Danio rerio: one gene and its partners. The protein of the gene in region 1 purifies or fractionates together with the protein of each later gene. This does not show direct contact. Links are inferred from orthologs where the notes say so. Each region holds a gene or a part of one and is shown in the gene's direction. Other genes may lie near its edges. The genes, in order: mta2, dnmt1, smarca4a, chd3, parp1, bcl11aa and znf512b.

Region 1 (4,494 bases):
CTGAAATTTTTTTTTTCCTTTTTTTTTATTTTTTTATTGTGAATATGGACAAACGTAGTACATAATATACACTCACTGGCCACTTTATCAGGTATACCTTACTAGTACTGGGTTGGACCTCTTTTGCCTTCAGAACTGCCTAAATCCTTTGTGTCATAGATTAAATTCCAAGGTACTGGAAATAATCCTCAGAGATTTCATGATGTGAATCTCCCGTTCCACCACATCCCAAAGGTGCTCAATTGGATTGAGATCTGGTGACTGTGGAGGCCATTTGAGTAACTTAATATCGTGATCAAAACACCAGTGTCCGATGATTCACGCTTGGCCATCAGAAGATGGGTGCACTGTGGTCATGTAGGGATGGACATGGTCAGCAACAATACTAGGATAGGCTAGAGATGGTTGTGCGTGAACATCCCAGCAGTTTCTGAAATACTCAGATCAGCCTGTCTGGCACCAACAACCATGCAATGTGCAAAGTCACTTAAATCAGCTTTCTTCCCCATTCTGATGCTCACTTTGAACTGCAGCAGATCACCTTGACCCTGACTAAATGCATTGAGTTGCAGCCCCCCCCAAAAAAATTGGGTTAACGAGAAGTTGGACAGGTGTACCTAATAAAGTGGCCGGTGAGTGAACATTTCACAACAATTATGAACAAATAAAACAAAATAAAAATGAGATGATTTTATTAGCTACACAATCAAAGTATAAACAGATGCCAGGAGTAAAATAAATACAGTGCTTGGCATAATTGAGTACACCCCATTTTGAAAATGAAATGAATATGTTTATCCATTTCTCAGTGAATATAGGCAGTGTATTTCGGTGTGTTTATACAAAACAGATTTATTAGACAGATATGTTTATTAAAATAATATTTTAGTCACCAAATATATTTAGAAATTGAAAGATAATACAATTAAATTCAAGCTAAATATTGCAAATTTCCCAGAGATGGGTTGCGGCTGGAGGGGCAACCGCTGCGTAAAAACTTGCTGGATAAGTTGGCAGTTCATTCCGCTGTGGCGACCCCAGATTAATAAAGGGACTAAGCCGACATGAAAATGAATGAATGAATGAATATTCCAAAATAACTACAACCTACAAAACTTTTCAAAAAAATATAATGTTTTGCTTTGTCTGATTTTTCCTTTTTTTAAATGTGTATTTAATATTTTTCTATATCATATAAATTTGGTTGTACTAGTTTTTGGCCGTTAATGTAAATTATTTTGTGAGGTAAGCTCCAGATTTAGCTTTAGTACAGACTAATCTAATGTATATCCACAAATATAATATTGTAAGCTTTCTATTAAAATCATATATGTAAAAGATAGTTTTGTGAGGGGTGCACTTATATATGCTAAGCTCTGTAGATGGGTAGGATAATAAAAAACAAAATATTTATTTAATCAAATTAAATTTGCATAATGCTTCAAATGTATTTTTTTTTAGCTTATCTGTTTTTAATGTTACACAGTGTAGTGCCATACTGTTTAGTCTCCTTTGTAAAATGTTCACAGTTCGGCTTAGCTTCAGCCCATTTCTTGACTGAAATGTATATTTGCCAGGAGTTTTCCGAATTCGACGTGACGTTGCGAGCTTTCGAAAATGACGTTGCAGAGGGGGTGCGTGCCCGTGCGCGCGCCCGTATGTGTGTGTGTGTGTGTGAAACAGAGCGGAGGTGAAGAAGAGGAGGATGAAGCAGGGAGCGGAGGATGGGAGGAAGAGTGGAGTGAGTGAGAGAGAAAGAGAGAGACGGGCTGGCTATCAAGGGCTCGTGTCAAGTGTGAATGTCTGAGAGGGGCTTCGATGGGAGTTTTATCGCAGCGCCGAAACAAAGACGCGATCTTTTTTTACCATCCGGAGAAACATTGTAGCGGAAACTTTAAACTTTTACCCGCCAGAGCGGCAGCGCCGTGCCGGGTCCCGGCTTTGTCTCGCGACGGGGGGAAGTACGCCAGCACACGCGAGGATATAAAGAACCAGCACCACGTTCGGATACACATTTTGACTCCCACGAAGAGGGAATCTGCGATTATTGCGTTTGTTTAGGAGAGCGAGAGAATGGCGGCCAACATGTACCGAGTTGGAGGTGAGTATTATTGTTAAGGCTAACACTAGCAGCAGGCTCGCGGGGGTTAGCATTAGCATTAGCGCGAGCGGCTGTTTCCGCCTTAGTTACAATGAGCGGAATCCCGTTGCTAAGCAGGCTAGGCTAGTTTCGTTACGGCTGCATTCGGGATAACTCGAATTTAATTATTAATATATGTATTAAAGTTCACTTGTGAAGGTTTAAAAACTCGTGCTGACTCTTAAAGTCTTTCTTAACTCAGTAGTTTTGGTTTCTTTTTAATAATTAGCCGCCGCAAGCAAATGAGCTAATTATACAGAAAGCCTTGCGTTAGTTTAATCCATTATAGTGCTTTTTACTTACTTTTTCTAGAGTTATGTTGAAGTTTTTGTCGTGCACGTTTCCCAAACTCTGTCAATCTGTCAAACCTTTGACAACTGAATCATATGGGAGACTCGCCGCACTTTCAGTTTCGTCACCTGTTTGAAAGGAAGCAGTAAAATAATCCAAAATGTTTAGTTAAAGGTGTATTACACGCATGTTTACACTTGGTTAACCTAGAAATAGTGTTTAGTACTAAAAAAAGTCTCTTTTCTATTCTCATATATGCAGAAGGCGCGTATAATGTCCTATCCAGCTGAAGTTTTCTCCATCATACATGTTCACTTCTACTGTAGACTCTCCTACATATGCCTCTCATATGTCTTTTGTCTGTAAGATGCTGGTGATGATAATATGCGTTAACATCACTGACTGACTGACGGCTTGGTAACCATCTACATTACAGTGCCTTTACGTTCTTAAATCCGTGAATCGGCCGTAAATAGGTCACGGCAATCAGCCTGTGTTGCTTTAGCAGACGCCGCTGATTGCTTTATTGCAGTTGCAGATTGAACATGCAGCGAGTTCTGCAGGAAAGAACTCACTTATTACACGCTTGTCAAAATGTATTAGTGTTTACGACGCGAGACTGGGTTCAGACGAAGAAGAAGTCTGCGTCAACTCACAACTGTCATTTGAACCGTTTTCTCCAATGAAGGTGCTGTGTGGGATGGCACTGTAATGATGTTCTGTCGTAGCTTGACTGCGCTGTTCGTTAGTGTTTGGGGAGGTTTGCACACCCAGGTACTGCTTTCGGTAGGTCACTGGACTTGACCTCCTTATTTAGCCTCGAGCTTTGCATCTCTGCGTTTTCACCTCTGTGTTCTGGAGGTTTGTGACTCAAATGCTGTCACTGTTTTTTGTTCAGTTCATTTGACCAGAGTGTTTGCTTTTGTCATTGAGCTTCCTAGAATGCATTAGTGATCGACTGAGGTATCTGCTGTTTAGTGCTGCCAGGCTGAATCATAAGTCAATATTTGTCTCTTTTGAAGAAACTGGCGTTTGACAGTAACTCTGCTCGACCGACAACCCGTGCGGAAGTGTCATGATTAAAATCATGAAGATTAAATTTCTACCTCTATTTAAAAAAAAAATGCATCATTAAGTAGAAAATTATTCATTATTCACATTTATGTGACTGTGGACTACAAAAAAAAAGTGATGTTGCACTGGAATATTTCTGGCAATAGGCATGACACGATAACTGTTTCAAGGTTTACCGAGTTTTGGAAAAGTCAAGGTTTTCTTTCTTTCTTTCTTTCTTTCTATCTATCTATCTATCCATCCATCCATCCATCCATCCATCCATCCATCCATCCATCCATCCATCCATCCATCCATCCATCCATCCATCCATCCATCCATCCATCCATCCATCCATCCATCCATCCATCCATCCATCCAAATTTGTTTTTGGTTTTAATGAACATACAAACAAAAAAGGACAAAGACAAGGATATCAGTAGACACAAGTATTGCAACAAAAGTCATAAAAAAACAAACAGAATACAAAAATCATAATAAACAAATGAAGTTTTGCTGTGATTTGAGTAAAGTTACACTTATTATGAAAATAAATTCAGCCATTAGAGGCATCCATATTTTCTGAAAGACATCTCTTTTGTTTCCTAAGCAGTTTGTATTTTGCTTTAAGAGCATTGTTTCATTTAACGTGCGTAGAGTTGCTGAAGTTTGCCTTGTACACTTGCAATTTTTTAGGAACTTCTTTGGTTTGGTTTGTCAATCTTGTCAATGCTATTATTCAAAAAAGCTAATGATTCGCACTCAAGTAATTTCTTCGTACTGTTTTTATTTTTTCTTTCTCTTACATTCAACGGGTGATTAAAAGACACAGATGTTTTGGCACAATGCCTTCCTCAGTGCTCATTGTTTTATTTAAGAATTGTATATACAGTTTAAATGTTGGAGGCCTTTGTTGGTTCCAATTGAGCAAAATGCATTTTTTTGGAAGATAAGAAATGATGTCGAGTCGCTTTGTAGAAGTAGTATGAAGTGTCTTTTTCAATTCTGTA
Region 2 (3,813 bases), on another chromosome or scaffold:
TGTTTTTTTTTTTTCCCCTGTTCAGGAGAGCAGCCAGAAGACAAGCCGTCCGCCATCCCACTAAGATTGAAAAGGACAACAAGGGCCCGACTAAAGCCACCACCACTAAACTGGTCTACCTGATCTTTGACACATTCTTCTCTGATCAGATTGACCAGAACAATAAGGATGGAGGTGTGAAGAGACAACGGTGTGGTGTCTGTGAGGTTGGTTGTCTGAAAATAGCAGGCACAGTTTAACTGAAATGCAAGCATGATGATTGGCGACCTTGGTATTTCAGGTGTGTCAAGCTCCAGACTGCGGCAAGTGTTCAGCTTGTAAGGATATGATCAAGTTTGGAGGCAGTGGCAGAAGTAAACAAGCCTGTCAGAAGAGGAGGTATGCTTACTGTGCAGTCTTTGCTGTTGCGTAATCATTCTCCTCAGCAGTTTTGTATTTTCCATGTGTTTTAAAGGCCTTTCTTTGCTTTCTCTGTTTTTATATTATAATGATTAACATTTTGAATGAGGCTAAATGTCATTCAACAATTAAGGTTTTTAATAGTTTTTACTATTTATAGTGCCAATTTTGTCTATACTCATGCCATTTTAAATTGGCATTTCATTTACCTAGGCATGTATATTTAATTGATCTCAGATTAAATGTTACAATGATATCTAATTGTCTTAAACAACTTCCTAGTTGTTGACCTTTTAGGCCCCGTTTACACTAGTGCGTTTTAGTATTAAAACATCGTTTTAGAATGAAAACGATCCGCGTCCACACTCGCTTTTTACCCAGCGTTTCTGAACTGCTCTCCGTCCACACCAAAATTCTGAAAACGCACATCACATGACCACACACACACACACACACACACACATTCGGGCCAGCGCTGCAGCCCATCTACCCAGATGAGAGCTGTGCTAGTCGGACTTCTCATCAAGCATCTCCTGCTGGATCTAATCTCACTATATTTATTAAACGTGATATTTCATTCATCTTGTTGTCTTTATCTAACGACATATTCCCTGACTTTGGTCACTAGAATATATTAGCCTACTTGTTCTCAGGTAACGTGTTTTGGCTAAGCGCAAAGATAAGTTAATGATCAATGTAACCACGTAGCCTATTCTGTATTATTGACTGATCGCTTGCCTTTATTTCCTATAATGTATAAAATTATTGTATGTTATATTTTTATAATGGCCATTATCGATTATTAAAACTTATATTCAGCAAAAGAGAGGGTATGTTTCGTATTTTAACTGAAATTGAAAGGAGGCAGTTGTTATCGGCTCCGTTTTGTTATAAATATCCACACAGTGAAGATGACGCTCGCATGCAGCCCGACGCCTCAACATTTCTGCTGTCTGTTAAGTTGCTAATATCAAAATGAAAATAGGCAGTTCCTTAAATCATGTTTACATTTGATTTTATTGTTGAGAAAGTGAAACAACGTAGCCAGGGTGAATGAAGTTATACAGTACACTGTTCTCTTTGAAGATTTACCCGTGTCCTCGGTATAGTCTGTTTTCCATATCAAACTGAGAAGAATAGACTGCAGCCTTGATCAAACTTGCAAAGTCTGAACTTGCAAGGAGAGGATGCAGGACTGAACTGTGTGTGTTAGGCTACTTAATATTGAGGAAAAGCCCCAATCAGAGAAGCGAATGTCTACAGCCCAGCCTCCATTTTCAGATGTCTCCGTTTTTGCTCATCCACACTTAAGACGGAGCACCAGCGTTTCAGAATGAAAACGGCCTCTCCAGCGTTTTCGAAACGCTCTGTTTTCGGCGCTCGAACTCCGGCGTAGTGTGGACAGTTGGCGTAACCGTAGCTAAACTTATGCGTTTTCAAACTAAAACGCATTAGTGTAAACAGGGCCTTAGGCACATCATGAATATATCAACCTTGTGTTGATTGCACAATATTTGGTGACTCCAGGTTTGTTGTTTTGAACTATTAAAGGTCAGAGCACACTTGGTCTCTGAACCAAACAGTAGAATAGCCCTTTTGAGAAGCAGATCCTGTTGGTGATATCGAACTTCATGATTTTGGATTTGTTTGCCAGGTTAAAGCCTAATGTTTGTTTTGTCCATCCAGGTGTCCCAACCTGGCAGTGAAAGAAGCTGAGGATGATGAGAACATGGATGAGGAGGATGTGTTGCCAGTTAAGGATACAAAGAAAATGTCTCAGACCAAGAAGAAGAAACAAACCAAGAACAAAATCAGCTGGGTTGGTGAGCCATTAAAGGTATGCAATCTTTATCTGGCAGCGGACACAATATTTTTTTTTTTTTTTTTTTTTTTTTTTCCAGGACTATGGCCATGTCTACTCAAATGGGTATTTGCAAAACAGTAGATTTTTCTACTTGGTTTGGTCATTGGTCCATAATCCGATGCAGTATTAGGGAAATAAAATCTTAACACTGTAGTCTTCAAATTTTTTAGAAATGGTGTTGTTGTAGCTGGTAAACTCCTTTTTGTTTCATGGCTTTTGCTGTTTTTGCCTTAGTTTGTCAAGTTGTGCTACTAACCCTTTTAGCTTTCATGTGGCTGGAGACTTTTCTCCCCTCCCAAATTTAGAAGACTTTAAATTTTTATTTTTTTTTTGCCGTCATCTTTTCAGACTGAGGGAAAGAAGGAATATTACATGAAAGTGCGTGTGGAAAATGAGGTGTTGGAGGTGGGAGATTGTGTATCTGTAAGCCCTGATGACCCATCACATCCTCTCTACCTGGCCAGGTAAAATTATCAAAGCAATTTCTTTTGTAAAACCAAAAGGTTTAACATGTTTACTAGACTCTCTAATTAGTAAATCATTGGTTTCTTTAAATTTGTAGGATTACAGCTTTGTGGGATGATGGTGAGAAGATGTTTCATGCCCATTGGTTCTGCCGTGGCACTGATACGGTCCTTGGAGAGTCATCAGACCCTCTTGAGCTCTTCCTAGTGGATGAGTGTGAAGACATGCAGCTAAGTTTTATCCATGGCAAGGTCAACGTCTTCTACAAGGCACCATCTGAAAACTGGTATATGGAGGTACATACGCCAAAGTGTGGGCAGTGTTTGTGTTTAACAAACTGGGCAGAGGTTTTAACACTGTTATTGTTTTGAAGGGTGGAATGGATGAAGACATCAAAGTGATTGACGATGATGGTGAAAGCTTCTTTTATCAGCTCCATTATGAAGGTGAATGTGCTCGCTTTGAGACTCCTCCCAAGGTCACACCCTCTGAGGACTGCAAGTATAAGTAAGAGCCCCTTTTGACCTATTTTAATGGGACACCTGTTCTGTATTTGTGCTATAAAATGTTATGTTTCACTAGGTTTTGTGCCAGCTGCACCAGAAACAAAGAACGAGAGGCTGAGTCTGTTCCCCATGCCTATGAGCCCTTAGAGGATGAGGAGAGTGACTCTAAAGTCTTCTATGGGTTGGTGAACTATAAGGGAGAGCAGTACAAAGTAGGGGACAGTGTCTACCTACCACCTGAGGCCTTTAACTTTGTGTAAGCTCTTTATTATTTACTGCCTCAAGGGATTTCTATTTGAGTGGTTTTATTAAATGGACCTCTTGTCTTTTAGAGTAAAGGCTGCAAGCCCGGTGAAGCGTTCCCACAGAAAAGATGACGTTGATGAAGATCTTTACCCTGAATACTACAGGAAGTCCTCTGATTACATTAAAGGCTCAAATCTGGATGCTCCTCAGCCTTTCCGCATTGGGCGCATCAAAGAAATCTTCTGCAACAAGCGCAGCAATGGAAAGCCAGACACCTCAGAGATCAAACTGCGCCTCTATAAATTCTACAGGTAACTCTTTTATTCTCCGGAA
Region 3 (3,813 bases), on another chromosome or scaffold:
ACTTTGGGTCTTGAATAGTTTGGCTGTTTCACAAACATGGTTGAGAACTCTGGATGTTTCATTATGTAGTATTTTCTGATTTTTATTTAGATTTTAAACCTGAAAGGACAATTCTGACAATGTTTTAGGGTGTAAATCAACTCTGATTTATTCAATTATTGCATTAATAGAGTTATAATACGAACGCTTTTCATGAATTGGTTAATGAATGCAACAAAATATTTGGTCACACTTTATTTTGAGGGTCTGTTTGTTGAATTTAAGTTACATTGCATCTACATGCCAACTAATTCTCATCAAATAAGTACACTGTTAGGTTGGGGTTAGTGCAAGTTGACATGTACTTGCAAAGTTTCTGATAGTCAGTTAAATGTCTGTTGAAGGAGCAGTATCAGCAGATATTAAGCAGACAGTTTACTAATACTTAATTGGACCATCAAAATAAAGTGTTACCATATATGTGTGAATAAACATTTCAGTGTTAAATCCTTCTCTCTGCTGTACACAGGAGCGCATCAGGAGTCACAAGTACCGCAGTCTGAATGACCTAGAGAAGGACGTTATGCTGCTGTGTCAGAACGCTCAGACCTTCAACCTGGAGGGATCTTTGGTAATGTTCATCATACTCTTTAAGCCACAATCTTATTAAACACCCATCAAAAATACCAATTCGACCAAGTTTATTGTCTTTGTGCAAAAAAACTGATGTTTTTTGTGTAAAAAGATGAAAAATGTGTAAGTGTGTAACTGTCTTTCACACTGAAAAAGTTTGCTCTGGCCACCCTGGCGACAACGCTGTCAAAAATTTACAGATTAATATTTTTCTGATCCCATAACATAACCATTAATAGTTGTTTTGGAAGATTTAAAAAGATGTTTACCGCTCCCCCAGTGAGGGCTTAAAAATTTGCTACACTGATCTCGTATTTAGAGGGGCTATCACAGTATATCAGCCGATCAGTTATTCCCGCATAAAAAAATCTTGTTTTATATTATGAAAATGAACTTGTGTCATAGCTCACTGCTAGAAAATTGACTTGATTTCAACTCTCTTTGGCGGCCGCACTAGCGAAGATGTGCAACCGCTGGTTCCCATTGAAAATGAATGACTTCCGGCTACTTTTTTACGCTTTTTGTGTGCTTTCGGCTATTTTTCTGCTTTCGATGTGAATGCGCAGTAAAAAAAAAAAAAAAAAAAAGAAGTATTGTGTTAAGTATATCTGTTTTTGTACACTTTATTTTTTAGGTTTTCCACATTTTAAAATGTTTGTAACTTAATTTTTTTTTATAATAATTCCTTCATCAAAACACATTGTAAAAAATGCTGTGTTCAACACAATTACATGATGTTGTGTCAACAAAAATCGATTACTTAACCTAATAGAATTTACAAAAGTGGATTGAATATAAAACAATTAAGTTGTCTAAACTCAACTCGTTTTAAATAATTAGTTTGTCAATTTTTAAATGCATAAAACTTTAATTGACATTAATTTTCATCTTTAGTTGTTGTATTTAAGCTAAACATAATTGAATATGGCGCAATAGGTTATAATATAATGTTTTATATAAATGTTTTTTCCATCTACTGCATCAGTGTCTTTAAATTGGTACAAGCAACCTAAAATCATTAAATGAGTTGAGGGTTTGACATTTCAGATCTACGAGGACTCTATCGTGCTGCAGTCTGTGTTCACCAGCGTGCGGCAGAAGATCGAGAAAGAGGAGGAAGAGAGTGAGGGAGATGACAGCGAGGAGGAAGAGGATGATGTCGATGAAGGATCCGAGTCTGAATGTAAGTTGACAATAATGGTCTCCATTCACCAAATTGTTATGACTCATTTCAGTCATCAGCATTTAAAATTTAAATGGTATGAACATTTGAATTTATTTATGTATGTATCATATCATCTTTGCATCAAATTACAAAAAACAAATTACTGCTTGTGCGAGGCATTTGTAAAACAGTGTATGGGCAGGACAGTAAATGTTCTCTCCTGGTTGCCGTTATCGATCTCACACTATTTGTTTCCTATTTCTGAAAGTCTTGCCAAAACCATCTGGGAGTTTTGCTTTCATTTTTTTCAGCAAGTAGGATTGTAAAAAAAAGATTTGCTGTACTCTCGTATTCACTGCGCTCTACGTTTACTCCACTATAAAGACTTCCGCTACTGAGAAACCCAGACAAGTGAAAAGGGTCCATACTGCTACATGAATGAATCCAAATATTATCTGATTACAGTATAAAACACTTACAACTCTAATTTATATTAAGCCCAATATTAAAATATTTGTTTGTGTATATATTACAGCTCGTTCAGTGAAGGTGAAGATAAAGTTGAGTAGAAAGGACAAGGCGGAGAGAGGAAAAGGACGACGCCGAACCGGACGCAGCTCGCGGCCTAAACCTGTTGTTAGTGATGACGACAGTGAGGAAGACCAGGAAGAGGTACTTGAGAATAATCAATGATGATGATGATTATTATTACTGTTATTATTAATATCATTAATATTACTACTACTAATAATAATAATGATAATAAAGGAAAATATAATCTACATACAATACAAAAGTAAACATTAGTTTCCTTCTTTCTATTTTTGTTTTAACCCAAGCCCTACCCCAAGAGCTGAACAAGAATAATCAATGAAGAATAATTAAACTTAAAGGGAAAAAGTACACACACACACACACACGCACACACACACACACACACACACACACACACACACACACAAGTAACTAAATTTGCATTCAATTCAATGAAGAAAATGTTTTGACTCTTTAACTGCTCTAGCTCTTCAACCCCTTAACTCTTAGAGTTCACACCTGAAATTATGACGTATACGTATTAAATGCGGTTTGTTTGAAGTTTTTTATGAGGTTTCTTTTAAATTTGTTATAAGGCAGTGGTGCTCAACCCTGTTCCTAGAGATCGACCTTCCTGCAAAGTTCAGCTCCAACCCTGTTCAAACACACCTGAACCAGTTAATTAGGACCTGAACAGCACTTGATAATTATAGGCAGGTGTGTTTAATATAGGTCTCTAGGAACAGGGTTAGTTACGCCTGTTATAAGGTTTTGACCATTTAAAAAAAAGGTCTGTGTTCTAGGTAGTTAATAAGTTGCACTACTGTTATTAAAAGACATTTACACAGCTTCTTTTGTGAAAATAAATTGTTACTCTAATGTTTTTGAAACAAACTTATATTGTTAAAACACTGTTTAACATTTGTTCACTACTGTTTTTAACATGAGGACACTGTTACACTATAAAAAAAAAAAAAAGTTTTGCACATCTGGTGACACGGTGGCACATTTGCCTCATAGCAAGAAGGTCGCTGGTTCGACTCCTTGCCTAGGCCAGTTGTCATTTCAGTGTGGAGTTTGCATGTTCTCCCCTTGTTGGCGTGGGTTTTCTCCATGTGCTCCGGTTTACCCCACAGTCCAAAGACATGCGCTATAGGTGAAATGAATAAACTAAATTGGCTCATACACTCATAGTGTATGAGTGTCTGTGTAAATGAGTGTCTATGGGTGTTTCCCAGTAGTGGGTTGCAGCTGGAAGGACATTCGCTTCGTAAAACATCCGCTGGAATAGTTGCCATTTCATTCCTCTGTGGCGACCTCTGAATTAAAGACTAAGCCGAAGGAAAATGAATGATTGAATGAATAAATGTTGCACTTAAGTTTTTGAGAAAAAAACAACAAGTTTACATCATTTTTTTTGTGAGAAGACATTGTTACACTACAGTGCTTGAAAAAAGACACTATTACACTGTGACTACTAAAAATATATCAGTGCACAACTG
Region 4 (3,813 bases), about 2.9 Mb from region 1:
ATCATTTGGCCTCAAGATTGATATTATTTTCTTTCTCTCTTTTTTCAGGAGAGTGACATAGAGAGAGACTCAGAGCCGGACTATGCCATGAACTCTGACAGTGCTGCCAGTGATTATGGAGGGGAGAAGAAAAAGAAGAAGAAACACAAGGACAAGAAGGAGAAGAAAACCAAGAAAAAGAAGAAAGAGGATGAAGACAGCACGCATGAAGAGACCACGAAGGTTATCCGTCCTTTTGCGTCCTTTTGTATTCTTGTCTTCTTTGCTGTTGTAGGCTGTGTGCTCATCCTAACCATTATCTGTGTCCAAATCAAACACAATCAGCCCATTGTTAACTTTGAAATTGAATTAATTTACCCAAGTCGAGAAAGAAAACCGATTTAAAAATATAAACATTCTGACTTGGCTCAAGTGGTGTAGAAATTGCATGCCTTTTTCTGTGAATGTATTTTTATTTTTTTCTAAATGAGTTAAAGAATGTATCTAGTGGCAAATATACTTTAATTCAGGTGTACAGTAATTACAGGTGCCATAGAATGAAAATCTAAATATACCTGGCAAATCTAAACAATAAGAGTTCAGTACATGGTTATAATGACATGCCTCATGAGCCTCAAACCCCATTGTTTTCTTTCTTTCATATAAATTATGTCAGTGTAAAATCCCACTGAAAATCAAGCCAATCAGAACAGAACATCAACTTTGATTATTTTAATATGCACTCCCTAGGCAGCGTTTGATTGGCCACAACATTTCCTTGTGAGATTACAACAATGATAATTTTTCCCCATATATTTAAGTTCTATGCTTGTATTAAACTTTCTATGTACGTGGGACTTTTATTTTAAAATTGGGAGAGGCAGTGAGACTAAAAATGAGCATTTTTTTAAGCAGTCAGACCACCGGATGTTCACAGCTCATCAGAATGCAAAATGTAGGATAGACGGATTATAAATTTATTCAGCACCACCCCAAAGATGCACATTGTCTAGTTAAATGTATTGTTTGATAGTTTAACGTGTATATTGTGTGTAATTTGCAGTGTGTATTTGTAACGAGGCAACAAACACATGTAAACTGCTTAATATAAAAGTTTATGCAAGTTTATGCATCGTGTCATATCAGTTAGCTTTTTCTGTGATTTCTTGTGTGCACGCGATGGCACCTCTACTTAAATCATATTAACACGGACTACTGATGAAACACAAATATCAGCAACAACAAAACAACAGAGTTCACAAGATTTCAAAACCATACAAATTGGCCTAATTTGACCAAGCATCCATTATTAGTCAGAGCCTCGTATTTATACTTGATTATTTTGAATTGTTAATATGTACGTTATATGTTTACACGCTTTGAGCCAAATCAATTTATGGAATATTACAATTTAGTCATTCCAAGTTGTGATAGTTTAATTAATGATTTGATTAGGACAATTTTGAAAATTACATCAAAACAGCGTCATTATTAAAGCTAGCAAAAATGATCTAATAGTATGTTTACCATATTTTCCAGAAAATAAGTTGCACTTGATGGCTCAGAATAGCTTTTTGTCCTCCCAAACTCTGTTGTCATATACATGAATGGTCAAAATTCTTAAAACCTATTGTTTCTAATTAAAAGCAATGTTATGTAATCTTACCCTCAATACCAGTCAATAAACTGGTTTATTTACAGATAGAATCAGAACTAACGAGGTGTTTTCTTGAGAGCTTGTGTTAGCACTATTTATATGCCTGAAATTAGTATTCATGTAAAGTGTTTGCATTCAAATCTTCACACATTCACAAACACATATGCAAACACATGATCAGACGTTCTTCTTGCGCTTCCATTTAGGAATTATGAAAGATTGTTGAAAACATAACATGGTGTTTCTGCTTCATGTCAATAATAATATACCACACACATAATTACTGATCCAGCTAAGCTAAAGTGGGGTTTAGGATACAGATATTTCCGGATTCTTATTACCCATCCACACTGTGACGATCATGTGACAGAGTCTCTCTCTTCCAGCCGGTAGAGATGAAAACATCAGCCCAGCTGGCGAGAGAGTGGGGACTTGAGGATGTTGATCACACATTCACAGAAGAAGATTACCGCACGTTAACCAACTACAAAGCCTTCAGCCAGTTCCTCAGGTACTGACTTTCACTAGAAGTTTGACACGTTGTTGTTCCTTTGCATCATATTTATGCCAATACTATCTCATTAATTCCTGAGTTGGTTGATTACACGAAGAATGGCAAGCATTTTTGTAATAAAATATTTCTCGAATGTTGTAAAAATATGTAAATGAGACATTCTTTCATTAAATATGCACTAATTTACATACATTTGTGGCACCAAAACATTCGACAAAGTCAGAGTAAATTATTTTTTTTAATTAATAAAGTCAAAAGATTTTCCCAGAGATGGGTTGCGGCTGGAAGGGCATCCGCTGCGTAAAAACGTGCTTTATAAGTTGGCGGTTGATTCCGCTGTGGCGACCCCGAATTAATAAAGGGACTAAGCCGATAAGAAAATAAATGAATGAATGAGAGTCAAAAGATTTTACAGAGGGAATTTTTTTTGAATCACTGCATAATTTAGATAATACTGCAAACATCCAGAAAAAATTTGAGGAACAAAATGTAATATATAAGCAAAGCAAATTAAGTATGAATGAACATACCCCCCAGTTTAATCCCTAAATATATATATGAATTAAAAGTCCTGCCAAATTAAAGATTTAAAACTTAAGAAAATAACACATTTTGAAGGAATGGCCTTTTCATTTATTTAGTGTCATTAAAATCTGCAGACCAAAATTGATTAAATTGATTGCTTGTGTGTTTTGGATGTATGTCAACATATTGTTTTCTGCAGGCCCATGATTGCTAAGAAGAACCCTAAAATCCCCATGTCCAAGATGATGACCATTCTTGGGGCCAAATGGCGGGAGTTCAGCTCCAATAATCCATTCAAGGGTTCGGCAGCAGCCGTCGCTGCAGCTGCTGCCGCTGCGGCTGCAGCCGTTGCCGAGCAGGTCTCCGCAGCAACAGCCTCGCCCGAACCTCCACCTCAACCACCTCCACTACGCAAGGCCAAGACCAAAGAGGGCAAAGGTGGCCAGATTTATTAGTCGCTATTTTATATAAATACAAAGCTTGTTAACAATTGAATCTAGAGAATTGAATTGAAATGAATAGCATATAACTTAATTGGGAAAATTACCTAGCGAATGTCATCATGCTTTCCTCAGCTGATCACAGTACAATTAAGGTACAATTACAGTACAATTAAACACATTTAGGTCATTCACAATAATAATTAGGATTTTTAGCTCAAACTGTGGTACTTGGTGATTCAAATATAAGTCAAAAGTTTCTGGCTCTTGAACTGTAATTTAAAAAACACATACAGGCAAGTATTGTAACTATATATATATATATATATATATATATATATATATATATATATATATATATATATATATATATATATACATTTTTTAATTAATTAAAAAATAAAAAAGTCACCTTCATTTTTTACATTTATTTTCACTAATTTAAATGAAGACAAAATTTGTAAACATAACAGCCCAAAATCTCAAAACGTTAGAATGAGTGCCAATTAATTACTATTACACATAATGTAATTTTAAGCAATTTTTAAAATATTTGTTTTGTTTATTAAAATGTTCTGACATCTGAAATATCTTCTAGCATTTAAAAATGATGCATGATTATTTTTATTAATCTAGACAGAATACTTATATTAGAATACCAACATTGACAATTTATTGTTTATTGACAGGCCCTGGCT
Region 5 (3,813 bases), on another chromosome or scaffold:
AATATTAACTTGTACTTTCTATGTAAATGTACTATTTGAGTTTTTCTGCAAATGCCACATCCATAACACTGGAATTGCTCATGTGCTCTCAGATTTTTTTTTTCAGCTTATGTATTTGTTGTTGTTCAAACCTCATTAATGTTCTGATCTGTTCCTGCCTTCCCTCAGAGGAGATTGAGAAGATGAGTAAGAAAATGGAGGAGGTGAGAGACGCAGGTGTCCGCGTGGTGGCTGATGATTTCCTTACTGACATCAAGGAGTCCGGCAAGGCCCTTCAGGAGCTCATCTCTCTGCATGCCATTTCCCCCTGGGGCGCTGAAGTTAAAGTCGAGGCCCCGGCTGCAGCCGCGGCCACCAAATCCACCGGAGCTCATTCCTCAAAGAGCACCGGCAAAGTCAAAGAGGAGGAAGGTTAGACATGTCTGCAGATTTACGTAGAAAGTAACTGATACAAAGGGATAGTTCAAACGAACATGAACATTTACTCACCCTTAAGTGATTTCAACACTATAAACAAGCTGTTTCGAATAATGTTAGAAACCTGTAACCATTGACTTACACAGAAGGAATAACAAATGCTATTAAAGTCAGTGGTTACAGGTTTGCAGCATTTTTCTAAATAACTTTTTATTTCAACAGATGAAAGAAATTCAAAGCTGTTTTGAATAATCCTGAAAACCTGTAACCATTGACACCCCATAGTATTTGCTTTTCCTACTGAGGAAGTCAATGGTTACAGGTTTTCAGCATTTTTCATAGTAACTTATTTTGTGTTTAACAGAAGAATCTCAACGCTGTTTGAAAAAAATCCTGAGAATCTGTAACCATTTACATCCCCAGTAGGAAAAACAAATACTATGGAGTGTCAATGGTTACAGGTTTTCAACATTTTCAAAATATCTTATTGTGCATTCAACAGAAGAAACTCACAGCTGTTTTGAAAAATCCTGAAAACCTGTAACCATTGACATCCACAGTAGGACAAGCAAATACTATGGAAGTCGATGGTTACAGGTTTTGGTGTTCAATAGAAGAAAGAAACTCAAACCGGTTTGTGACAGGGGAATGCTAATTAAATGATGAACGAAGTTTTGGGTGAACTATCCATTTAACATCAGAAATTGCTTGAGATTTTAATCATTTATTCATTCATGAATTATTAAATCATACTTTACAAACTTGGGACGAAATAAATATTGATTTTACTATTGTTTATAATTAATAAACAGTTTGTTGTATCCTTTGGTTTATAGTGGTATTCTGTTTAAATAAATCGAACAGATTTCAGAAGTGGTTATAAAGGTGTCTTCTGAAGGAATTTTAGAGTACTTATCATTGATCAAATTGAAAACTTATGACTTTTTATCAGTGAATTGGGTAAGCTAAATTGTCCGTAGTGTATGTGTGTATGTCCTGGTCCTCCAGGTTGGAGATTAAGCGTTGGACTAATGACCCACCTCGTAAAAATTTGATATTACGAAACACCAACATGGTGCGGCTAAATATCAACTTAGATATAAACGGTCCTGGAAGTGTTATTATTATTATTTTATGGTGATTATTTAGTTTTTGTTTCTGAATACTTTTTGACTCCACAGAAAATCGTAAATCATTGGTTGTTTTGTATCTGTTGTATTTAAGTTTGCTTGTCATTTTTAAAATCATGTTACAGAATGTACTTGCAGAATCATCATATTCGATCTAAAATGATAAATATCGCAATATATATTGCAGTAATTAAAATTATTGCAATGCCAGTTTTTTCCAATATTATCCAGCCCTAATTTGTATGTTTTTTTTTGTTTGTTTTTTTTGTAAAACGAATAATTAAGAAACAGATATGATTGCAAATTATATATTGAATATTACTACCAGTGTTGTCAAGAATGTAGCCAATGCTCCTGATATGGCATTAAAACATAAATAAATAAATAAATAACAGAATATAGAAAAGCACTTGCATGTTTTTTTAAATAATTTGTAAATCTTAAAATTACTTATTTTACCTTCCTGCTTAATAAAAACCCTATTTTCTTCTTCCTGCAGGTGGAAGCAAATCAAAGAAAATGAAGCTGACAGTGAAAGGAGGAGCTGCAGTAGATCCAGATTCAGGTGATTAACATTTTCCCCCATATCTCATTCAGGCGACTCTGAATATTACATATGGTCATGTACTGTTTATTCAGATCTCTAATCACGGTTTGATTGTTCAGGTCTGGAAAACTGTGCTCATGTTCTGGAACAGAATGGAAAGATTTACAGCGCCACACTGGGTCTCGTGGACATCGTCAGAGGGACAAACTCATACTACAAACTACAGCTGCTGGAGGATGACGTTCAAAAGCGGTGAGCTTTCTGAAGGATTCCTATTGTACAAACATTTATTCTTAAACACAGTGATTTTCTTTTTGTAATTTCAAACTTTGTGTTTTTCTTAGACTTTTTAAGAAGGTCTTTTAACAAATGCCTGCTTTAAAACCTTGCAGATGTGTATGTTTTTTCATATTTCTTTAGAAAAGTGTTAAAATAGGGTACAATTTTATGTAGGATAATCAATACAACCTTTTGGCATTTTGCATGTATTTTGTGTGTTCTAATTCTTTCATTTTTATATATTGAACATTTATAACTTCATTTTATTTCAAGTTGTGAATATAGTATTATTAAATGAATAAAGTAGTTTGAGGGTGCTTTCACATCTGTAGATCAATTGTTTAGTTCGGAAAGTTTCTAATGGACCAAAATAGTTAAAACAAGTCACTTGTGTGAGTTTCAGGGTTTATTTTTCAGAGTTATTCTTATTTATGATGATGATAAATGAGACATTATAAGCAAAAAATGTGCACTTTAATTTTGACACCCACAGACATTGTCAATAAATATAAGTCAGAGAGGTAAGACTTTCTCATACATGGCCTCATTTTAGTAAAAATCTATTTATTGAATCAGTCAAACTTTTGAAAAAAAAAACTGGTTCGAATTCTGCACTATAGGCTTAAATTATAGAGAGAAATAACAGATGAACCAAGTCTGCAGTCAGATCACAAAGCAGATCAATGTTGATCTTTCTTTTGAGGTGTGAGTGCAGAAATGAACAAAACAACAGGCTTAATACAACATATTATAAAACTAAAATATGGAAAAAGCTATTGAATGTTAATTTTGGTACATTTTTCTAACACATAAACAGCTCTGTAAAATTTCAGCATGCTTTCACTTTCGTATTCGACTTGAAATGCACATTTACAGGTAGGAAGGACATCTCACCCTTCTCATAATTCTCTCTTCATATAGTCGTATATATGCCTATTGCATATACATAATACACTGTGATATAGTCTGGTTCATTAGTTTGTTGGATCGCTTTGCTTTCTCTCTGCAATCGATCTGCACCCTAATATTACAAAAAAAGATTTTAATGATTTTTTTTATCGTTGTTATTATATCTGTCACTACTGCTTTGTCTGTTTTATCTGTATTATATATTTAGTTATTTATCTTTGCGTCTAAAATGGATAAATAAAAATTATGATCACACTTTACATTAAGGTTTCATTAGTGTATTTGACGTGAACTAATTAGGAACAACACTAGTACAGCATTTGTTAAACGTAGTTCAACATTTAGTAATGCGTTATTAATATCCAAATTCATGCATGTTAACTCTAGTTAATGACGAGCTGTATTTTCATCAACTTACATTAAATAACATGGACAGATGCTGTAATAAATGCATTTTTCATTGTTTGGTCGTGTTAGTTTATGCATTAACTAAGATTAACTAATACAACCTTACTGTAAAGTGTTACCGAA
Region 6 (4,522 bases), on another chromosome or scaffold:
TGTGGTACAGTCGAGCGGATCCATTGGTATTCCCAGATAGATCTCGCGCAAAGTTGACCTTTTTACCCAGCACAAACCTGACTCAACTTTCGCGTTAAGATCTGACACCTCGCGTCGGAAAAAAACACACGCGCACCAACACAGCGATCAGTCTTGGTCCAGAAACAAAGATGTCAGCGTATAAGCCTGCAAAGCAGTTTCACTCACTCGCTCGCGGGTCACGTATTATCTCCAGCATTCGGCTTCAACTCCGATCGGTTCCCTATTGAATTGTGCCTTTTCCCCGCAGACTGTCACTTGTTCACGCAGCCTCTGCTTTCTCTGGAGTAGTCGCTATAGTCTAGTTGTACTTCTACTAGTTCGCAGGGGTGTCTCTCTCTTCCTCCCACCTCATGCATTGAACTAGCTTGTCATCGCGTTCGGTTATACGCTTCATGTCTCTTTAATTTCGAATGCATCAGCGCTGTTTACAGCATCTTTATATTTCTAAATCCACGCGGCGGTTTACTGACACCCCCTCCTCCCCCCAGTCGCCATTCTCTATAATCTGAACACATCTGAAAGTTATTACCCCGTCCCCTTTCTTTCTAGTGGGCTGCTCCCACAATCTATTCGTCAGTGTGTTGTTATATTTTTACAATTACACTCTTGTAGTATTTAAGTCCCACCTACATCGCGCGCAGAGCGCACGAGCAAGTATCCCATCCCGCTTTATGTGATGTGCCTTAAGTTTCTCTGAGCTGGAGGAATGTGGCAGCGCACGCGGCGGTTGAACCCTGCACATGCCCCGGCTCGGAACCTGTCTGTCCTGTTCATGCAACCCGATCGTGTCTCGCTGAAAAGCAGCTACCTTGCGCGCTACCTTTGACTGTTTGACCAGGAGTTGAGTCAGTGTGTTTGAAACACCATCAGTGTCCACTACGAAACCTTAAATGCGAGGCTCCTCTCTCACTGTCTTTGTATATATAGCACGTCCGGCCCCCTTGAATCTCCTGTCCATTGGCTTTTCGTGCTCTGTTTTCCTGCGTCCACCCCCAGAGCGCGAGCGCGCGCGGACGCACACACACACACACACACACTCCGCAGCGCACATTGCTTTCATTAAACATATCTCCCCCTCTCTCTCTCCTTGTGTGTGTGCTTGTCTCTCGCTCCCTCTTTCTCGCCTCTTGTCCGGCCCCCTGATCTTTCTGTCCATTGGCTTCTTCGGGTCTATTTTTCATGTCCAGCCCCTAATGAGTGTCCATTGGTTTTGTTATTTCCACTCCCTCCTCCTACTCCACGGCTTTGCCCTGCCCATGTTCTGTATGTCTGTGTCCATCCATCTCCTGACGTTCAAGTTCGCAGGGACGTCACGTCCGCACTTGAACTTGCAGCTCAGGGGGGCTTTTGCCATTTTTTCATCTCTCTCTCTCTCTTTTCAAAAAAGCCATGACGGCTATCCCACAATCCATCTTCCCTGCGCCATCTTTGTATTATTTCTAATTTATTTTGGATGTCAAAGGCATTGATGAAGATATTTTCTCTGGAGTCTCCTTTCTAACCCGGCTCTCCCGATGTGAACCGAGCTGAAAGCCACCACCAACCACCATGTCTCGCCGCAAGCAAGGCAAACCCCAGCACTTAAGCAAACGGGATTTTTCGCGTAAGTAAAGACAAATATATGTTGTGCCCGTTGCCTTTACCTGTTTTTTGGCTGCGTTGTGTAGCGTTGAGTTGCTGGAGAGGAGCGTAATTCTCAGGGAAGACACACTGGACATTGGACAGCGCAGCGCCGATCAAGTGGACTTTAGCGAAGAGAGCGTTCCCATCTCTTGAATGCCTTTACGCGCACCGAATCGCCAAAAAGTTTGTCTTCCATCGCTGTACTTGGAGAAGTTCGTGTCGACTCTGTGTTTAGGCGCATATGTCTTGGCTCTCGTGCCCCAGTCGCTTTGACCACTTAAGAGCAAACGCTCACATATACCGGACCGTGGTGGGTATATGCACGCGTGCTTTCGCTTGCTTATTTACTCTCACATCTCGTGGAGTGTCCCGCAACGCTGTCTGTCTGTGATTCTGGGCAGGATTTCCCCCCTCTCGCACTATTTTTGGAAGATTTTCAAAGAGTGGAAGCGAATTTTGATTGGGAAAAATCTCGTGTCCGACTGTTTACAAGCGCCGCGTGCGCTTACTACCCACTGCCAGCAAATAGAGCACGATAGTCTTCTGCCTGAGACTAACAGCGCAGAGTAAGACATCTGCATATAGCCTAATATCGTTTCGAGTTTTACACATTAACGCTTTTCTAACGTTTGAAGCAAAACGCGGTTGTGCAGTATTTGTGGGCTTTCGCTGAAAAGCAGTAGAAGAGTATTTTACGTTACGCTCTTTGCCGTTTCGAGTACATTTGCAAGGAGAGAAATACGATTTCTATTTAGGCCTGATTTTCGTCTTAAATGTCGTTGACAAAGGTAAGACGAAACCTAAATATAATGCAACTATTTGGATACAAATGTATCGAGAAAACCAGGCTTTTTATGCATATATTCGTAACACACTAACCTACTGTTCTTCCAGAGATCATGTTAGTTGACACACTAAACGTGCTTTGAAGGACTGTGATAAGTTGCATTTTTCTAAATAAAGTATGCTTCAGATTATATGAACCTGAAATGTTGTCAGGAGCTCGACGACACAACCATTTAGCTTCTATCTTTTTGATGTTTTAGTTTTGATGTCTGAAACGTAAATCTTCAAAAGCATTAGTCCGCGTTTTAATAGATAAACGTGTTTGACACAAATCCTGAGTTGTTGTAACATTGTAAAGTATCGTGTAACATTATTGGGTTTCCACACACAGGCTGTGGATCTCAGCGCGGGTTACTCTGCGCTTTCGCTGCTGCACGTGTCCGAAATCCACCGCTAGGGGGCACACGACGATCATAAACTAGACTCGAACCCGATCAGTTTCAGCACTATCTATATTTGACCATATGTTTGCAAGAGCGAAACGTATTGTATATGAACTTGTAACAGTTTTTTTTTTACCCCGTCCTGAACTGGCATGAATTATAGGATTTTTAAAAAAATGTCTTGTATATTTTGTAATGGATCTAGAAAACTAACATGACTTTCAGGTAATGCAAACAGAGCCAGTATCGATCTTGATAAACTTTGCCATCCAATTTATAATTACACAGAAGACGGTTATTTTTAAAGCAAAGAAACAACAAGCGAGCCTACAAACTTTTTTAATGAATTTATTCAAAACCCCTTTGAATTTCATACACAGAGAAGCTAATACTAAATCTTTTTTTTGTAATAAGATGCTTTTGAATTTTAGACAAATTAATTGTTTTTAAGTCTTTAAATATTTTTTAGTTTAAGAACTGATTTAATTTGAAATGCATATGCAGGTAATGTAATTTAAAACTATTGTGAAAACTCAGTTTAATACAGTTTTCCACACTTTCCACAAATTTTGAGTTGGCTTAATTTGTTTTAAAATGGTTGAATATTCCTTCAAAACACATTCATGGAATCCTAGTTTATTTATGCAAGGTCAATCGTAGTCTGTGAAGTATATATAATAATATTTAAAAATATGCATATGCACGGAAATCTTTAAATGCCATTACCGATTGTAGAATAACGCATAACTTTAAATGTTGTATTAAGCTATTGTATTAATGTTACATTTTATTGAAGCTGAAATATCTATTAAGCAACTATATGTACTCGCTGGGTGTTATTAAATTATGACTCAAGTTTTTGCAAATATGTCGATTATCTCTGTTTTTATCACAAAATCACACATTACTGGACGTTCTACATCTGGTATCATTACGAATTTAATACGAATCAATATCAATCTGTGTATCTTGGAACCAGATACAAAAACGTTTAACTTCACTTTAAATTGCTCCTATTAGAAATGCAAGCAATTACGCACAATAATACAATGTAAAAACGGAAAACATTCGCTCATATTTAAGGGTAATTGATCACGTTTCGTCTTTGTTATTTCATGTGCAAACGTGTCGAATATTTTACTCATAACCACGTCTGGGAGATACTTCACATCTGCCCCTCAGTATCTGCCCCAGACTGGGCTGAGGTAAATTTAACCGCCCTGCTCGTGATCCCAACACCTTTTTTATTATTATCAAAATCTGTACCAATCATCACCCACTAAAATTAAAATCTATTTTTTGATTCTCAGTGGTTTTAGGTTCATTAAAGCATGAAATTGGCAGCTTATAAAGAAGGTCAAGATTCTTAACCATTAGCAAGCTAGTGTAACCTCCGCGCGAAAGATTTCGCTAAACAGCCGTTATAAATACCTGTGTGTGTGTGTGTGTGTCTGTGTGTGGACTGTATAGCTAACTTTATTGAGAATGGAAAAAGGTATCAGTACTTTTACTCCAAGTGTGAAGCATGTATTGATGCTGCTGTGACTGTTTTGGTTTTGCTGGATATCTACACGTGTTGTACATGCAGTCATAATCCAGATGTGTGTGTGTGTGTGTGTGTGTGGTTG
Region 7 (4,288 bases), on another chromosome or scaffold:
GAAAATTTCCTTGCTCTGTTAAACGTCATTTGGGAAATACTTAAAAAAGGAACAACAATTCAAAAGGGGGCTAATAATTCTGATTTCAACTGTATATTTTTCTGTTGTGAATTCATTTTGAGAAAATGAATTGTTTAAAAAGCATTACAAGATGTTTTACATTACACTCTATAATATTTTGCATTAAGACAAAATGGCCGAAATTGCTTAGAACCAAAACAATTTCTCGTATTGTAAGACCAAAAAGTGATGATTTTGACAACAGGGAAATTATGGAATATAGGCTAAATTTTAACCAACATTAAAAAAGCAAAAACAACAACAAAAAAGGCATTATATTTTAACCGTGACTCACATCACAACTTTAACTTTATCTTCAACTTTAATGACTTCTGGCTTAACTTAATCTTGTCATAATTTTTCTTTTTATAACTTATAAATCTAATTATTTTAAATTCAAAGACTTGTAGATAGACATTTAACTAATTTGGTACTGATTGGATTGAACTAGTCTATATCATTTTAAAAAGCAAAAATAAAAATAAATGGATAAAAATAAATGCATGGACGTTTCATTTTGAAAATTAAATAAATAAAACTATGTCATATGTACAGTTGAAGTCAGAATTATTAGCCCCCCTTTGAATTTATTTTATTTTTTTCCCAAATGATGTTTAACAGAGCAGGAAATGTTCACAGTATGTTACAATTTTTCTTCTGGAAAAAGTGTTATTTTTTTAATTTAGGCTAGAATAAAATCAGTTTTAATTTTTTTTAATCCATTTTAAGTTAAAAAGGTATTGCCTTCTTTAAGTTAATTTTTTTTGCCTTTAATGTGTTGAAAAAAATCCCTCCGTTAAACAGAAATTATTCGGCAAAAAAAAAAATAAACATGGGGGATAATATTTCAGGGGTTAAAAATTCTGACTTTAACTGTATGCACATTAAACTTTACAATTGGTATGATGTCATGTTAAAATATGATCATTAACACTTTTTTCTATGGACAGCAAAAGCTATTCACTGAAAATATTTATATTAGTATGGGTATAAACTAAAATACAGCCTATAATAATACAGTAGCCTACTCGACGTCGATAATATGCCCATTCTCAGATTATTAACTAGTCTTTAACAACTACGAAATCTCTTCTTGAATCCACGAGTCGTACAAGTTACGTCATATAATGCAAACGATCTCATATTATGCGCCCACTACATATAGATAGATTGTAGCCGTCCGGAGCCTTTTCGTCATAACGGAGCGGCATGACGTCGAGCCGCATCAAACGCTTCCATTCAGGCAGGAGCTTTATTATGCAGAAATACCAAAATGATTGGCCTGATATCAAAATGAGTGATCATAAATAATAACGCGAGAGTTTGCAAGTTGCCTGCCGACTGTAGTCACAACTGTCAAAGGCAGCAGCAGCGGATACGCGCGTGACCCAGCACCCATACTGTTACTGTACACGGTCGCGGAGATAATATCCCTATCAAACAAATACACGGCATAATCCCGAGGTAAGGAGAGGAATATATCGAGGGGGCTGCGGCGGAAACTGCGCGACGCCGTGCCTTTCCCCTCCGCTTTCCGTCGCGTTCACTTCTTCCAGCCTCGATTACTGCACTAAACATATCCCCGTGCCTCCTTTAGCAACAGCGCGAGGTTTTTTTTTTTTTTTTTTTACTCCTCCTTCGTATTAAAGTCGCCATTTTGCTTCACTGCCTATGAAAGCTTCTTGTATTTTGATATTTTTTGCCGGCGTTTCTCCGTATCTGTGTGCGTGCTTATGAGTTGGATTTTAATGAGACAGCTCGTGGATTACATATTAATGAAGAGGGGCGCCGAGTGCAGTCTGGAAACACGGTGAAAGTAGTCGGCTTGTGAGCATTTGCATCAGCTGGCTCTTTTTTCCTTCTTCATCTTCTTCCTCCTCCTTCATCATCTTCCTCCGCGGATACGCACAGCGGGGGCCGTGAGTGTGGCTACCGACCGTGACGCCCGTCTCCCCGCGACCCCCCGCGCGTCAGGTGTGTTTGCCATGTAAAGTGAAGCTGCGCGACGCGAGAGTAAAGGCTACAGCCTGACCCCACGTGGGTGACCCGCTCACCCGCTCACCCGTCAGTGTTGGGTGGCTTTCCAGGTAGGTGTGGCCTTCGAGAAGTCGATTATCTGTCAATACTGTCAATAAAGACATAAACGCACCTTTCCTCTGGGAAGACGCGTGCTTTAACGCGTTATATGGTGTTAGTGCTTTTTTGGAGGTGGAACGGAATATGCTAGTGGAATGTGTTGTGGTGTTTATATGTGAGCTGTCAGTCATATTATTAACCACTCACACACTGTTTGAGCACTTATGTGGGTCATCCTCACTGTGCGCATGTTTTGTCTTTGTCCTACCATGTTGGGTTAAATATTAAAAAGTTTAATGGAAAAATGTCACAAGTTTTACCATGGGGTGAAAATGAAACTTGCACAAGTAATACAGATGTTTATCTTTCTGTGTGTGTTTAACAACTTATATAAATTAAGTTTAAGCAATAATATTCTTGAGTTGTTGTGGGGATAACTTAATTGTTTTATGTTCAATCCACTTAAATTTGAATGAACTAATAAATTAACTTAATTCCTTTATGTTGACCCAACAAAATCGATTGTGTGGAACCCAGAATATTTTACAGTCGGTGTGTTGTTGTGAACCATGTTTTCTTTGAAATGTTGCTTTAATCAATAACCAGAAAGTTTCTCCCTGTGACTTCAATGTCATATTATTTTTGTTTTGTAAAACCGTCTAGAAATAATGGAAAACAGACAGTTCTTTAATAACCCAATCCTTTGGGAAATTACTGTACATTGTGTCTTGTATTAAAAAACTGTGTATGTCCTATTACATTGGGTTGATTATTAAAAGTTTGTAATTACAAAATGTGACATTAGTTTTAGCTTGGGGTGAAACTGAAAAAAAAATAACTTGCAGTTCATGAAATAATATTACACCTTTATTGTGTTACTGCAAAACTAAAATATTTTCTTAAAAATATTATTGTAATGAATGATAGGCTAAATAGAGATGTCCTGTGCCCCCAATTTTGCTTTTTATCATCTTATTTAGATCTTACTAAAATATTAAAGATAAACCATGTTTTAAATAACATAATACCCAAGGAAGTGACATAATTCATTCATTCATTTTCTTTTTTGGCTTAGTCCCCTTATTAACTTGGGGTCGCCACAGCGGAATGAACCGCCAACTTATCCAGCATATGTTTTACGCAGCTGATGCCCTTCCAGCTTCAATTCAAACATCCATGCACACTCATTCACTGCGGACAATTTAGCCTACTCACCAGTACTGCATGTCTTTGGACTGCGGTGGAAACCGGAGCACCCAGAGGAAACCCACGCAAACGCAGGGAGAACATACAAACTCCACACAGAAACCTCCTCAGTTGGTGTTTCTGTGTGGAGTTTGCATGTTTTCTCCGCGTCCACGTGGGTTTCGTTCGGGTGATCCAGTTTCCCCCACAGTCCAAATACATGCGGTTCAGGTGAATTGGGTGGGCTAAATTGTCTGCAGCGTATGAGTGTGAATTAGTGTGTATGGATGTTTCCCAGAGATGGGTTGCAGCTGGAAGGGCATCCGCTGCATAAAACATGCTGGATAAGTTGGTGGTTCATTCCGCTGTGGCGACCCCAGATTAATAAAGGGTCTAAGCTGAAAAGAAAATAAATGAATGATTAACTTAATGATTAACATTGGTGCTTTATTTTGATGCATGTCCAAGAGAATTTGCAATTTGTTGGAAGGAATGAGAAACTGCTCATATGATGTGCAAAAATGACTAATAGTTTTGAGAAATGCATTAACTATTGTGCAAATGTAAATAGTTCTGTGAGAAATGCACCAAAGCGACTGAGAAAAACTGTTGTCCGATTGTCTAAAAATAATTATTAATAACATTTAAATGCTGTCAGGCTGTCAGTCAGGGAAAAAAACAAAACATTTTAATTAAAATACTGAAAATACAGCTCAAGCATATTTATTCTTCTGAAGTTATGGTTTGATAGCTATTGCGTGGCAGGAATGAGCCGTGTGTGTTTCTTTGATTGTGTAGGCACACTTCCATCCACAGCCTTTCTAAAGTGTGTGATAAATTCCCCAAATACCATAGCACTTAGTCCTACCAGCTGCTTTTCCTATTACCTTATTGCTCTTTTCCTTTCTGGAATCAACTTCTGGCTCACAAAATGAGCTTCAGCCTGTGGGCCATAAATAATTTGGTC

What was found.
Region 2: the proteins of mta2 (region 1) and dnmt1 purify together in Homo sapiens (affinity purification with western blotting; 3 studies listed by BioGRID and IntAct, with this or other methods). This does not show direct contact. The link is inferred for Danio rerio from reciprocal best matches to the Homo sapiens genes MTA2 and DNMT1.
Region 3: the proteins of mta2 (region 1) and smarca4a purify together in Homo sapiens (affinity purification with mass spectrometry; 3 studies listed by BioGRID and IntAct, with this or other methods). This does not show direct contact. The link is inferred for Danio rerio from reciprocal best matches to the Homo sapiens genes MTA2 and SMARCA4.
Region 4: the proteins of mta2 (region 1) and chd3 purify together in Homo sapiens (affinity purification with mass spectrometry; 8 studies listed by BioGRID and IntAct, with this or other methods). This does not show direct contact. The link is inferred for Danio rerio from reciprocal best matches to the Homo sapiens genes MTA2 and CHD3.
Region 5: the proteins of mta2 (region 1) and parp1 purify together in Homo sapiens (affinity purification with mass spectrometry; 3 studies listed by BioGRID and IntAct, with this or other methods). This does not show direct contact. The link is inferred for Danio rerio from reciprocal best matches to the Homo sapiens genes MTA2 and PARP1.
Region 6: the proteins of mta2 (region 1) and bcl11aa purify together in Homo sapiens (affinity purification with mass spectrometry; 4 studies listed by BioGRID and IntAct, with this or other methods). This does not show direct contact. The link is inferred for Danio rerio from reciprocal best matches to the Homo sapiens genes MTA2 and BCL11A.
Region 7: the proteins of mta2 (region 1) and znf512b purify together in Homo sapiens (affinity purification with mass spectrometry; 3 studies listed by BioGRID and IntAct, with this or other methods). This does not show direct contact. The link is inferred for Danio rerio from reciprocal best matches to the Homo sapiens genes MTA2 and ZNF512B.

The regions. Positions count from the first base shown.
Region 1 is NC_133182.1:17,876,237-17,880,730, forward strand, and holds the start of mta2 (metastasis-associated protein MTA2), read left to right. Parts: upstream 1-1,689; 5' UTR 1,690-2,073; coding exon 2,074-2,101; intron 2,102-4,494. UniProt on the Homo sapiens protein: May function as a transcriptional coregulator. Acts as a component of the histone deacetylase NuRD complex which participates in the remodeling of chromatin.
Region 2 is NC_133178.1:57,143,244-57,147,056, reverse strand, and holds part of dnmt1 (DNA (cytosine-5)-methyltransferase 1), read left to right. Parts: intron 1-25; coding exon 26-206; intron 207-280; coding exon 281-378; intron 379-2,085; coding exon 2,086-2,236; intron 2,237-2,611; coding exon 2,612-2,727; intron 2,728-2,825; coding exon 2,826-3,024; intron 3,025-3,101; coding exon 3,102-3,235; intron 3,236-3,310; coding exon 3,311-3,490; intron 3,491-3,566; coding exon 3,567-3,791; intron 3,792-3,813. UniProt on the Homo sapiens protein: Methylates CpG residues. Preferentially methylates hemimethylated DNA. Associates with DNA replication sites in S phase maintaining the methylation pattern in the newly synthesized strand, that is essential for epigenetic inheritance.
Region 3 is NC_133178.1:18,061,037-18,064,849, forward strand, and holds part of smarca4a (SWI/SNF related BAF chromatin remodeling complex subunit ATPase 4a), read left to right. Parts: intron 1-508; coding exon 509-610; intron 611-1,659; coding exon 1,660-1,795; intron 1,796-2,312; coding exon 2,313-2,449; intron 2,450-3,813. UniProt on the Homo sapiens protein: ATPase involved in transcriptional activation and repression of select genes by chromatin remodeling (alteration of DNA-nucleosome topology).
Region 4 is NC_133182.1:20,738,686-20,742,498, reverse strand, and holds part of chd3 (chromodomain-helicase-DNA-binding protein 3), read left to right. Parts: intron 1-48; coding exon 49-222; intron 223-2,022; coding exon 2,023-2,147; intron 2,148-2,874; coding exon 2,875-3,113; intron 3,114-3,804; coding exon 3,805-3,813.
Region 5 is NC_133195.1:46,980,836-46,984,648, forward strand, and holds part of parp1 (poly [ADP-ribose] polymerase 1), read left to right. Parts: intron 1-168; coding exon 169-411; intron 412-2,046; coding exon 2,047-2,112; intron 2,113-2,213; coding exon 2,214-2,346; intron 2,347-3,813. UniProt on the Homo sapiens protein: Poly-ADP-ribosyltransferase that mediates poly-ADP-ribosylation of proteins and plays a key role in DNA repair.
Region 6 is NC_133188.1:29,070,024-29,074,545, forward strand, and holds the start of bcl11aa (BCL11 transcription factor A a), read left to right. Parts: upstream 1-1,485; 5' UTR 1,486-1,590; coding exon 1,591-1,645; intron 1,646-2,035; exon of another isoform or gene 2,036-2,453; intron 2,454-4,522. UniProt on the Homo sapiens protein: Transcription factor. Associated with the BAF SWI/SNF chromatin remodeling complex. Binds to the 5'-TGACCA-3' sequence motif in regulatory regions of target genes, including a distal promoter of the HBG1 hemoglobin subunit gamma-1 gene.
Region 7 is NC_133198.1:14,911,510-14,915,797, forward strand, and holds the start of znf512b (zinc finger protein 512B), read left to right. Parts: upstream 1-1,392; 5' UTR 1,393-2,147; intron 2,148-4,288. UniProt on the Homo sapiens protein: Involved in transcriptional regulation by repressing gene expression. Associates with the nucleosome remodeling and histone deacetylase (NuRD) complex, which promotes transcriptional repression by histone deacetylation and nucleosome remodeling.